Linked DNA regions of Macaca mulatta. The protein of the gene in region 1 interacts with the protein of each later gene in a pairwise test. Links are inferred from orthologs where the notes say so. Each region holds a gene or a part of one and is shown on either strand. Other genes may lie near its edges.

The links.
Region 2: the proteins of FHL2 (region 1) and GNG12 interact in binary tests that used the Homo sapiens proteins (3 or more experiments, as listed by UniProt). The link is inferred for Macaca mulatta from reciprocal best matches to the Homo sapiens genes FHL2 and GNG12.

Annotation. Positions count from the first base shown.
Region 1 is NC_133418.1:13,468,975-13,472,615, reverse strand, and holds part of FHL2 (four and a half LIM domains protein 2), read left to right. Parts: intron 1-353; coding exon 354-523; intron 524-3,641. UniProt on the Homo sapiens protein: May function as a molecular transmitter linking various signaling pathways to transcriptional regulation. Negatively regulates the transcriptional repressor E4F1 and may function in cell growth.
Region 2 is NC_133406.1:172,775,984-172,780,215, forward strand, and holds the start of GNG12 (guanine nucleotide-binding protein G(I)/G(S)/G(O) subunit gamma-12), read left to right. Parts: upstream 1-1,338; 5' UTR 1,339-1,453; intron 1,454-2,516; exon of another isoform or gene 2,517-2,975; intron 2,976-4,232. UniProt on the Homo sapiens protein: Guanine nucleotide-binding proteins (G proteins) are involved as a modulator or transducer in various transmembrane signaling systems.

The DNA.
Region 1 (3,641 bases):
CATAGAAATTAATCGGAGCTATGCCACACTTCCCTTTATACTTTGCATTGCTGAGGCAGACTTAACTTTTTTTAGATTTAACATTCTTAACCACGGTTTTCAATAAATAAATGTTAAGTACCTAAAATGTACACGTGTTGTTCTAGGAGCTGGGTGTACAGTAGTGAACCAAAAGACAAAGTCCATGCCCTGCACAAAATAGGAATTACCTCCATTTAGAGGTGAGCCTTCAAGAGCTGAAGTGACTTGCTCTGGTCATAAAACTAGAGGGTGGCAAGCTCTGAAGGCAATTGCTGGGACTCCACGCCCCTCTAAGCATAACTCTGCTGTGTTCCTCTTGACCCTGATGACAGGTACCCGCAAGATGGAGTACAAGGGCAGCAGCTGGCATGAGACCTGCTTCATCTGCCACCGCTGCCAGCAGCCAATTGGAACCAAGAGTTTCATCCCCAAAGACAATCAGAATTTCTGTGTGCCCTGCTATGAGAAACAACATGCCATGCAGTGCGTTCAGTGCAAAAAGGTATTTCAGATTCCCCCTTGGCCCTTGCACATCCTGGCCGGTTTGCCTCCATGGTCCATGTCTGTCAGTTCTCTTTCCAAAAACAAGGATACCTGTGATACTGGAATGGCGTGGGAGCTGTGCCTGTCCTGCCTTACATGCCGAGCTTTATCCATTGGGTCTGGGCGCCCATCCTTCTTTCAAAAACATCAACGCTGTTGAGCTCCTGTGATCAAATCGCTTAACCCTGCCTTCTTCTAGACCATTCTAAATATATTCTTATGTCGATGACCTGATGTTAGAGGGAAGGGGAGCCACTATCCCAAAGCTGTCTTGTTCAGCTTCTCTCCATGAATAAACCAAGAAAACAACTGCAAACTTGAGAGGGAGAGAAAGATGGAAGGAAGAGGGGGAGAGGAAGGGAGGGAGCAGGGAGGAGAGAGAGACGGGATGTGAGAAGAAAAGTAAAGGAGAAAAGTCTGCCCCCGTGGATATGGGACAGATCATTTATCAAATGTATCTACTCTGGCCAGGCAAGGAGGCTCACGCCTGTAATCCCAGCACTGTGGGAGGCCAAGGCTAGTGGATCACCTGTGGGAGGCCAAGGCTGGTGGATTACCTTAGGTCAGGAGTTCAAGACCAGCCTGGGCAACATGGTGAAACTCCATCTCTACTAAAAATACACAGCTTAGCTGGGCATGGTGGTGCACCCCTGTAATCCCAGCTACTCGGGAGGCTGAGGCAGGAGAATTGCTTGAACCTGGGAGGTGGAGGTTGTAGAGAGCCAAGATCACACCACTGCACTCCAGCCTGGGTGACAGAGCAAGACTCCATCTCAAAAAATTAAAAAAATAAAAATAAATAAACTTAACTACTCGATCTGTTCCAGTCATGGCTCTGTTAGGGTTAAAGAAAGAAAGGGAACTGCCTATCTGTAGGAAGCCAACTCTCTGCCCAGTTGCCCCCCGACCTGTGCCCGTCAGGGTGGAGCTTGGTTTTCTGCTGTGCCCTCTGACTCTCACACACACGCAACTCTGATTATGCTGTAGCTTCCAGCGTCTCTGTGCTGTTAGGCTTTGCATCAGCCTGTTGAGTGGCACCCTCCCACGGCTCACTCGCCCTGGGCAATGCCAGCTGTGGAACTCATTGCAGGTTCTGTTTGCTCTCATCCTCTCATTGACCCTGCTTACCCAGCTTCTGCTGTGTTGCCCTTGGGGCCTCTACCCTTGCCTCTTGGCCATGGAGAAACATCCCAGTGCCTCTACCTGTACCTGGCTGGCCTGGGCAAGAATGTCCCCCTTGCCTGCACCTTTTCTAAGTGCTGAGTATTCTTACCAATTTCCATTCAGCCTTTCTCTCGTTTCCATTTTTTTTTTTTTTTTTTTTTTTTGAGACAGAATCTCACACTGTCACCCAGGCTGGAGTACGGTGGCACGATCTTGGCTCATTGCAGCTTCTGCCTCTCCAGTTCAAGCGATTTCTTTTGCCTCAGCCTTCCAAGTAGATGGGATTACAGGCAAACGTCACCATGCCTGGCCGACTTTTTTGTATTTTTAGAAAACACGGGGTTTCAACATGTGGGCCAGGCTGATCTCGGAACTCCTGACCTCAGGTGATCGATCTGCCTCCGCCTCCACTGCACCCAGCCCCTTTTGTTCTTTACTGTTATTTTAGATTTTATTTCTCTTAATTTCCTCTCCATTTATGCTTGTTTTTTTTTTTTTTTTTTTTTTTTTTTTTTTTTTTTGAGACAGTTTCACTCTGTCACCTGCGCTGTAGTACAGTGGCATGATCTCAACTCACTGCAACCTTTGCCTTCCGGGTTCAAGCGATTCTCCTGCCTCAGGCTCTTGAGTAGCTACTCAGGCTCCTGAGTAGCTGGGATTACAGGCAGGCGCCACCACCACACCCACCTAATTTTTGTGTGTGTGTGTGTGTGTGTTTTTTAGTAGAGATGGTGTCTCACCTTGTTGGCCAGACTGGTCACGAACTCCTGTTTTTTTCTTTATTCTTAGATTGAGGTCTCATTCTTGCTTTTATTTTAGGAACTCTCTTCCCTGTTCTCTCCCCATTTTATTTTCATTTTGGTTTGTTTTTCTCATCAAGACCTAACAGAAGTTCATCTGAATTGCTCTTCCTCTGTCATCTTTCCAGTGTGTGCTTTATTCATTTGCGGAAATGAAAGCAACACATCCTTCTGGGATGCATGCCTTTTGTGCACATGTTCGTTAAATACACACAAAAACCTTCACGCCAGAAGCATCCATTCCTCGACATGAACTTGGCCCTCTCAGGCACTGGGGATCCGATGCTGGACAAGATGCAGACACTTAACTGCAGTCTAGCTGGAAGTACACTCCAGTGTCAAACCCGTCAGTCGTTACTAAGCAGTGTGCTGTGGAGGAGAAAGGCAGAGTGTGGAATGGAGGGACCTCAACTCATCTGAGGAGTCGGGGGCCAGGGTGGCGTTTAGGGAGGGAGTCTCTGAGAAAATCATGCTATGCTGAGAGGCATCGAGTTAGCTGATGTGGGTGGGAAGCATGGAATCCGGAGTGAGGGAGGACTGAGGACATATGTTGCAGGCAGAGGAGACGTCTTACACACACAGGCTACTGATGCATACGGATGCGTTGCAACCAAGCGTGTTTTGTGTTCATTCTGTTGTGCGGTGGGGTGGGTTATAGGAAGATGCTTTATGATTCATGGTTTAATGAAAAGAATACAAGATAGAAGGGAGTCTGGAATTCTAGCTCCTGCTTTGTCATTAACCAGCTATGAATTCTTCAGCAAGTCACTTTTTAATTTCTCTGAGTCTCAGTTTACTCACCCATAAAATTAGTATCTTTCTTACTTCACAAGCTTTATGTAAAGACCAAAGGAATTACGGGATGATACTGAAATGTTCAAAAAATAAAAAGCAAAAAAGCGTGACTGTGAGGTGCTTGCACTCCATCTTCCATGGCCTTCGTTTGCCAAGCTGAGGCCACCTACACTCCTTTGATAGCTTACTCAGCTCCACCAAGCACGCATTTGTAAACAGAATGTGAGATGCAACATTTGGAGAAAAATACCAGGTAAAATTGAGGTACTGATGGCCGTTCCACCTTGTGTGGCTTTGCAGCTTCACCTCACAGATGTT
Region 2 (4,232 bases), on another chromosome or scaffold:
TGGTGTCATGCTGTTCTGTTTCAGATGTATCATTTGAACTGTTAGTACCTGTGAATCAGTCAAGCATTTCCTAATGCTGAACAGAACAGGAAATAAAGACCTCTCTGGTAGCCTGTGACTTGCACCCCCAAAACCACCCTCATCTGCAGCTTGCTAAGATCACACCCCTGGGGCAAGGCATGCATTCATACACCGACTCTACCTGTGACACCTCTTCTACATGTGCAAATCATTTCACTAAGCCTGATACTTGCTTAGGGGTCAGAAGGAAAGCAAGAGGGAATATAATGCCCTGACTGCAGTCCCTAGTTTCCAGATTCCCCAGGGCCCACTTGTCCTCAGTTGGTGAAACTCAATACACAGACATCCCTCACCAATGCTTTCAGACTCCATTTCAAGTGCGGACTCTGCCCACACTGGTTCTAAGTGACCTACTTTGGCCTCACCTCTTTTCTCTCCACCCTGTCAAACAAGAAAGCGGTTACCTAGGAATATTCCAGAAGTCCGCTGAGTGGTTTTCTGAACATTCAGCTTCTTTACTCTTTCTGGACTCCAAGAAGGCAAGCCCCCTGTCTGATTCATCCTTGTACCTCTCCCATCACCTTTAGCATCGCGCTTGGTACACAGCGGGTGCTCGGTAATGTTTGTCGAATGGCCCAAGGAATAGTACGAAATCTGTGGAAGCAGAAATGGCTCCTCCATTTACCCGACCTTGAACCATTCCAGAAAAGACCAACCAAATCCGATTAATTCATTGGGCAGAACTCTGCCAGGTACTGGACATTCGGAAACAAATTTCAGGGGGTTGGGGTAGATGAACGGGAAGCTAATGGTGGGTGGATGTACTACAAATTCAATAATCCGCAGTTATACCTCCACTTTCTGTGAAACGTCTCTCCGTGGCCCCAGGGCCCTTTAAATGTTACTGTGAGTGTTTTCCTCCATAGTGTCTGGGGCAGAGCCAAACTTTTGTGTAGGGGTTTGGCAGCGCTCATCCTCACAGCCCTGGGGACGGCTGGCACAGGGGCTGGCGAGGCGTTCGCACGCGAAGGAAACTTGCGAGGCGTCAGGGCGGCCCCGCGGAGGAGCGGGTCGTAGAGTGGAAGCCCTCAACTCCTAGAACTTCAGGTCCTCCATGAGAATAAGGGGAAGGGGGATGGCCAAAGACGGCCAGACGTCCACCGAGCTTTCCCAGGCCAGGCCTCTCCCCTCCTCCAGCCGGGCCACAACGCGGGCTCCGCGGCCCGGGGCAACATAGCCAGGGTGTCTGGGCGGGAGGCAGGGCCCGGCGCGGAGGAAGGAGCCTGGGGCCGCCGCCGCCCCGCCCACCCCAGCGAGGCGGAGCCGGCGCCTGGAGGAGCAGGAGGAGGAGGAGGAGAGGTCGGAGCCGTCTCCAGGAGCCCTTAGAGACCGAGTCCCGGCGGCGACGGCGGGGCAGCGCACCAGCAGGCGGGTGAGTACCAAGCGGCGGGCGCGGGTGGTGAGTCGGGTCCCCGCGGGGTCCGGGCGCGGCGCGGGGCGTCGGCCAGCGAGTTCGGGGGCCGCCTCCGAGTCCCGGGTGCTGGGAAGCGAGATGGAGGGAGGGAGCAGAGGAAGGAAGGAAGGAGGGAAGAGTGTCCTGTAGGGCGGGGACTGGTCGGGGCGCTGGGCGCCGGAGACCGGGGAGAGGCGGAGGAAGGGGGCAAGGGACACCCAGACCCAGAGGCAGAAACCGCGCGGTCGCCCTCGACGGGCGGCAACCCGAGGTCGCGGGGAGCCGGTGCCCCCACGGCTGGGGCTGGGGCTAGGCTAGGGGTGGAAGGAAAGGTCTCCCCGCGAGCTCGCTTGCCTCCTCGCCAGCCTGCGGCCGTGCGCCCCGCGCCCGATTGGGAGGCCCCCAGTGTTCCCAGCCCTGGCTTGTGGTGGTGCCAGGCGTTGGAGGAGGGCTGGAATCTGGGGGCGACAGAGACGCCACGCCCCTCTGCCTGCTTTCTACCTCCCGGGACCAGCCGGCGGGAGCGCAGCGTTGGAATCCACTGGGCGCTGGGGGTCTAGCAGGGAAATAGCGGGTCGCAGAGGGGAGAGCCCATATGACGCACCCTGCGAGGGACCCCCGAGTGGGGTCCCTAGGTTGCCCTTCTGCAGACTATATTTGCAGGTGATAAGGGGGAGGTTGAGGCTCAGTCTTGCGTGATTTTTTCTTAAAAAAATTATTGCCCCGACAGTTATCCCGTGGGTCAGGGTGACTTCTGTTTTTCATTGTAATTAGGGCGTATCAATAAAAGCTAACTTTAAAACCCTGTCAGCGCCTGCCGTCACTCACTCGTCCCTCGCTTTGTGTGTACTGTAAACTTGGCTTAAATCATTCATAACTCACGGTAAGGAAGCCGTGATTCTTGTTCACGTCGCCGCGGTGGAGTGAAACTTTGCCCAGCTGGGGCTGAGTGGAGGCACTGCCGCGGCCGGTCATCTGGTGGTCATCCTGCCGGGCGTGGTTGTATACAAACAAGTGGGTAGAGAAGGAAATCTCTGAACGCCAGAGGTAGAAGGGAGGTTCCTGCGCCCACGTGTCAGGGCGCGTTTAATGGCTGCTCCCAGCGGAAACAAACGGGAATTTATTAGACCATGTGGAGTTGGACAAACTTCACATGATTAGCTTCCTTCCCATCAGTTACTTCCTCTCCCCCCCTGCTGTCTTTGCCGACACAGTTTATATTTCCTGGGGCGGTTGTAGCTTCGCCTGAATAGGCTGTCTATAATGAATCTTTTGGATGTCGTCAGAGGCAGGGTCTGCGTCTGTGCCTTCTCTATTTTAAAAGCGGAGTTTGGCTTTGTTTTTAAAAGTGCTAGTCACCAGACTGCACCCTTGCCAGCGCTTCTCAGCTCTCAAAGTAAATTATCGCAGGATGGCGGCCCTCACCTAGGAGAACCAGGAAGGCAGGCAGCGCTAGAACGACGGGATTGAATTTTACTATTGCCAAAACAATCACATTCAAGTAAGGAGCTGTTTTGTTTTGTTTTTGTTTTTTTTTTTAACCCAATTATATGTACTAGCAAGCCCCTTTTCTAGTAAACTAACATGATTCACACACACAATTTTTAAAGTAATCAAACATTTTACAGAGTCTTAAGTGATAAAAGGACTTTCAGATAAAATGTTCAGTCCCTTTGCCTTCTCTAATAGTTAACCAGCGCCGTAAAGCCCTGGTTTAAATCCAAAAAATGCTTAAAAGTCTACTGCGTCGTTAGACCTTATAAATAATGCAGTCCTATTTTTGCTGTATTTAACTCACGTAATTTACTAGATATCGAACACCCAACAGGGCACACAGCACTGAGATTTGTGTAGAAATATATGAAAATGTGAATCTGTGTTTCACAAGAGCCTGAAAAAAATAGTATTATAAAAATTTCCTGTCCAGAAAGCTCCAATCTTACTTGAAAGCTCTCTAACAATTAGATTTGTGGATTTGTGTTGTCACTTGTTAGAGAATATCGGTGGTTTATTAAAGTGTGAGAGCAAAGGGCTTCATGGTCAGAACACTCGAGGAAGTGGTTAGCCAATATCAGATTAGTTTTTTTTTTAATTGTTGAAAACTTCTGTCTAGCAGGAAAAAAAATCAAATTTAGAATTAAGTGATTTATTGTGTTTTGCTTTAATTTGGAGTTTTATGTCAGCTTAAGCTTAACCTAGAAAGGCAAGTTGTGAAAGTCAAGTAAATTTTTCTGAGCCCTAACTTGGAAGAGAAGCTTGTTTAACAGTGATTTGGGGTGTTGGCTTTGGAGTCAGACAGACTTAGATGAAAATATTAGCTATTTAACCTTTTCAGTCTGATTTATAAGATGGGGATAATAATGGTCTCTATCTGTAGGGCTTTAAAGTATGTGAAACAGTCTTTGGAAAACACTTAAACTGGACTTAACACACAGTACATGGTCAAAATTATTAGATATTAATCTAGCTTGTTCAAGCAGCAGGCTACTGGATAAATTGCAAGGTGGTAGCTTGAACCTTCCGAAAATGCTAGATAGAGCAATTTCAAATTCCACAGAAGTAACTGGTATGTGTGTGTGTGTGATGTTTCTACCACAACAATATGAATAATTATGATTAAAGGATTAATAGTTTTAATATGCTTTTAGTGCCAAAGTTACAGTTGCATAGTAATTTTGACAGAAACATTGCATTATCCTTTACATTTAAAGATAATTTATATTTCAAATAGTTGTGTTTATTAGCCCTAGGTAGGAAA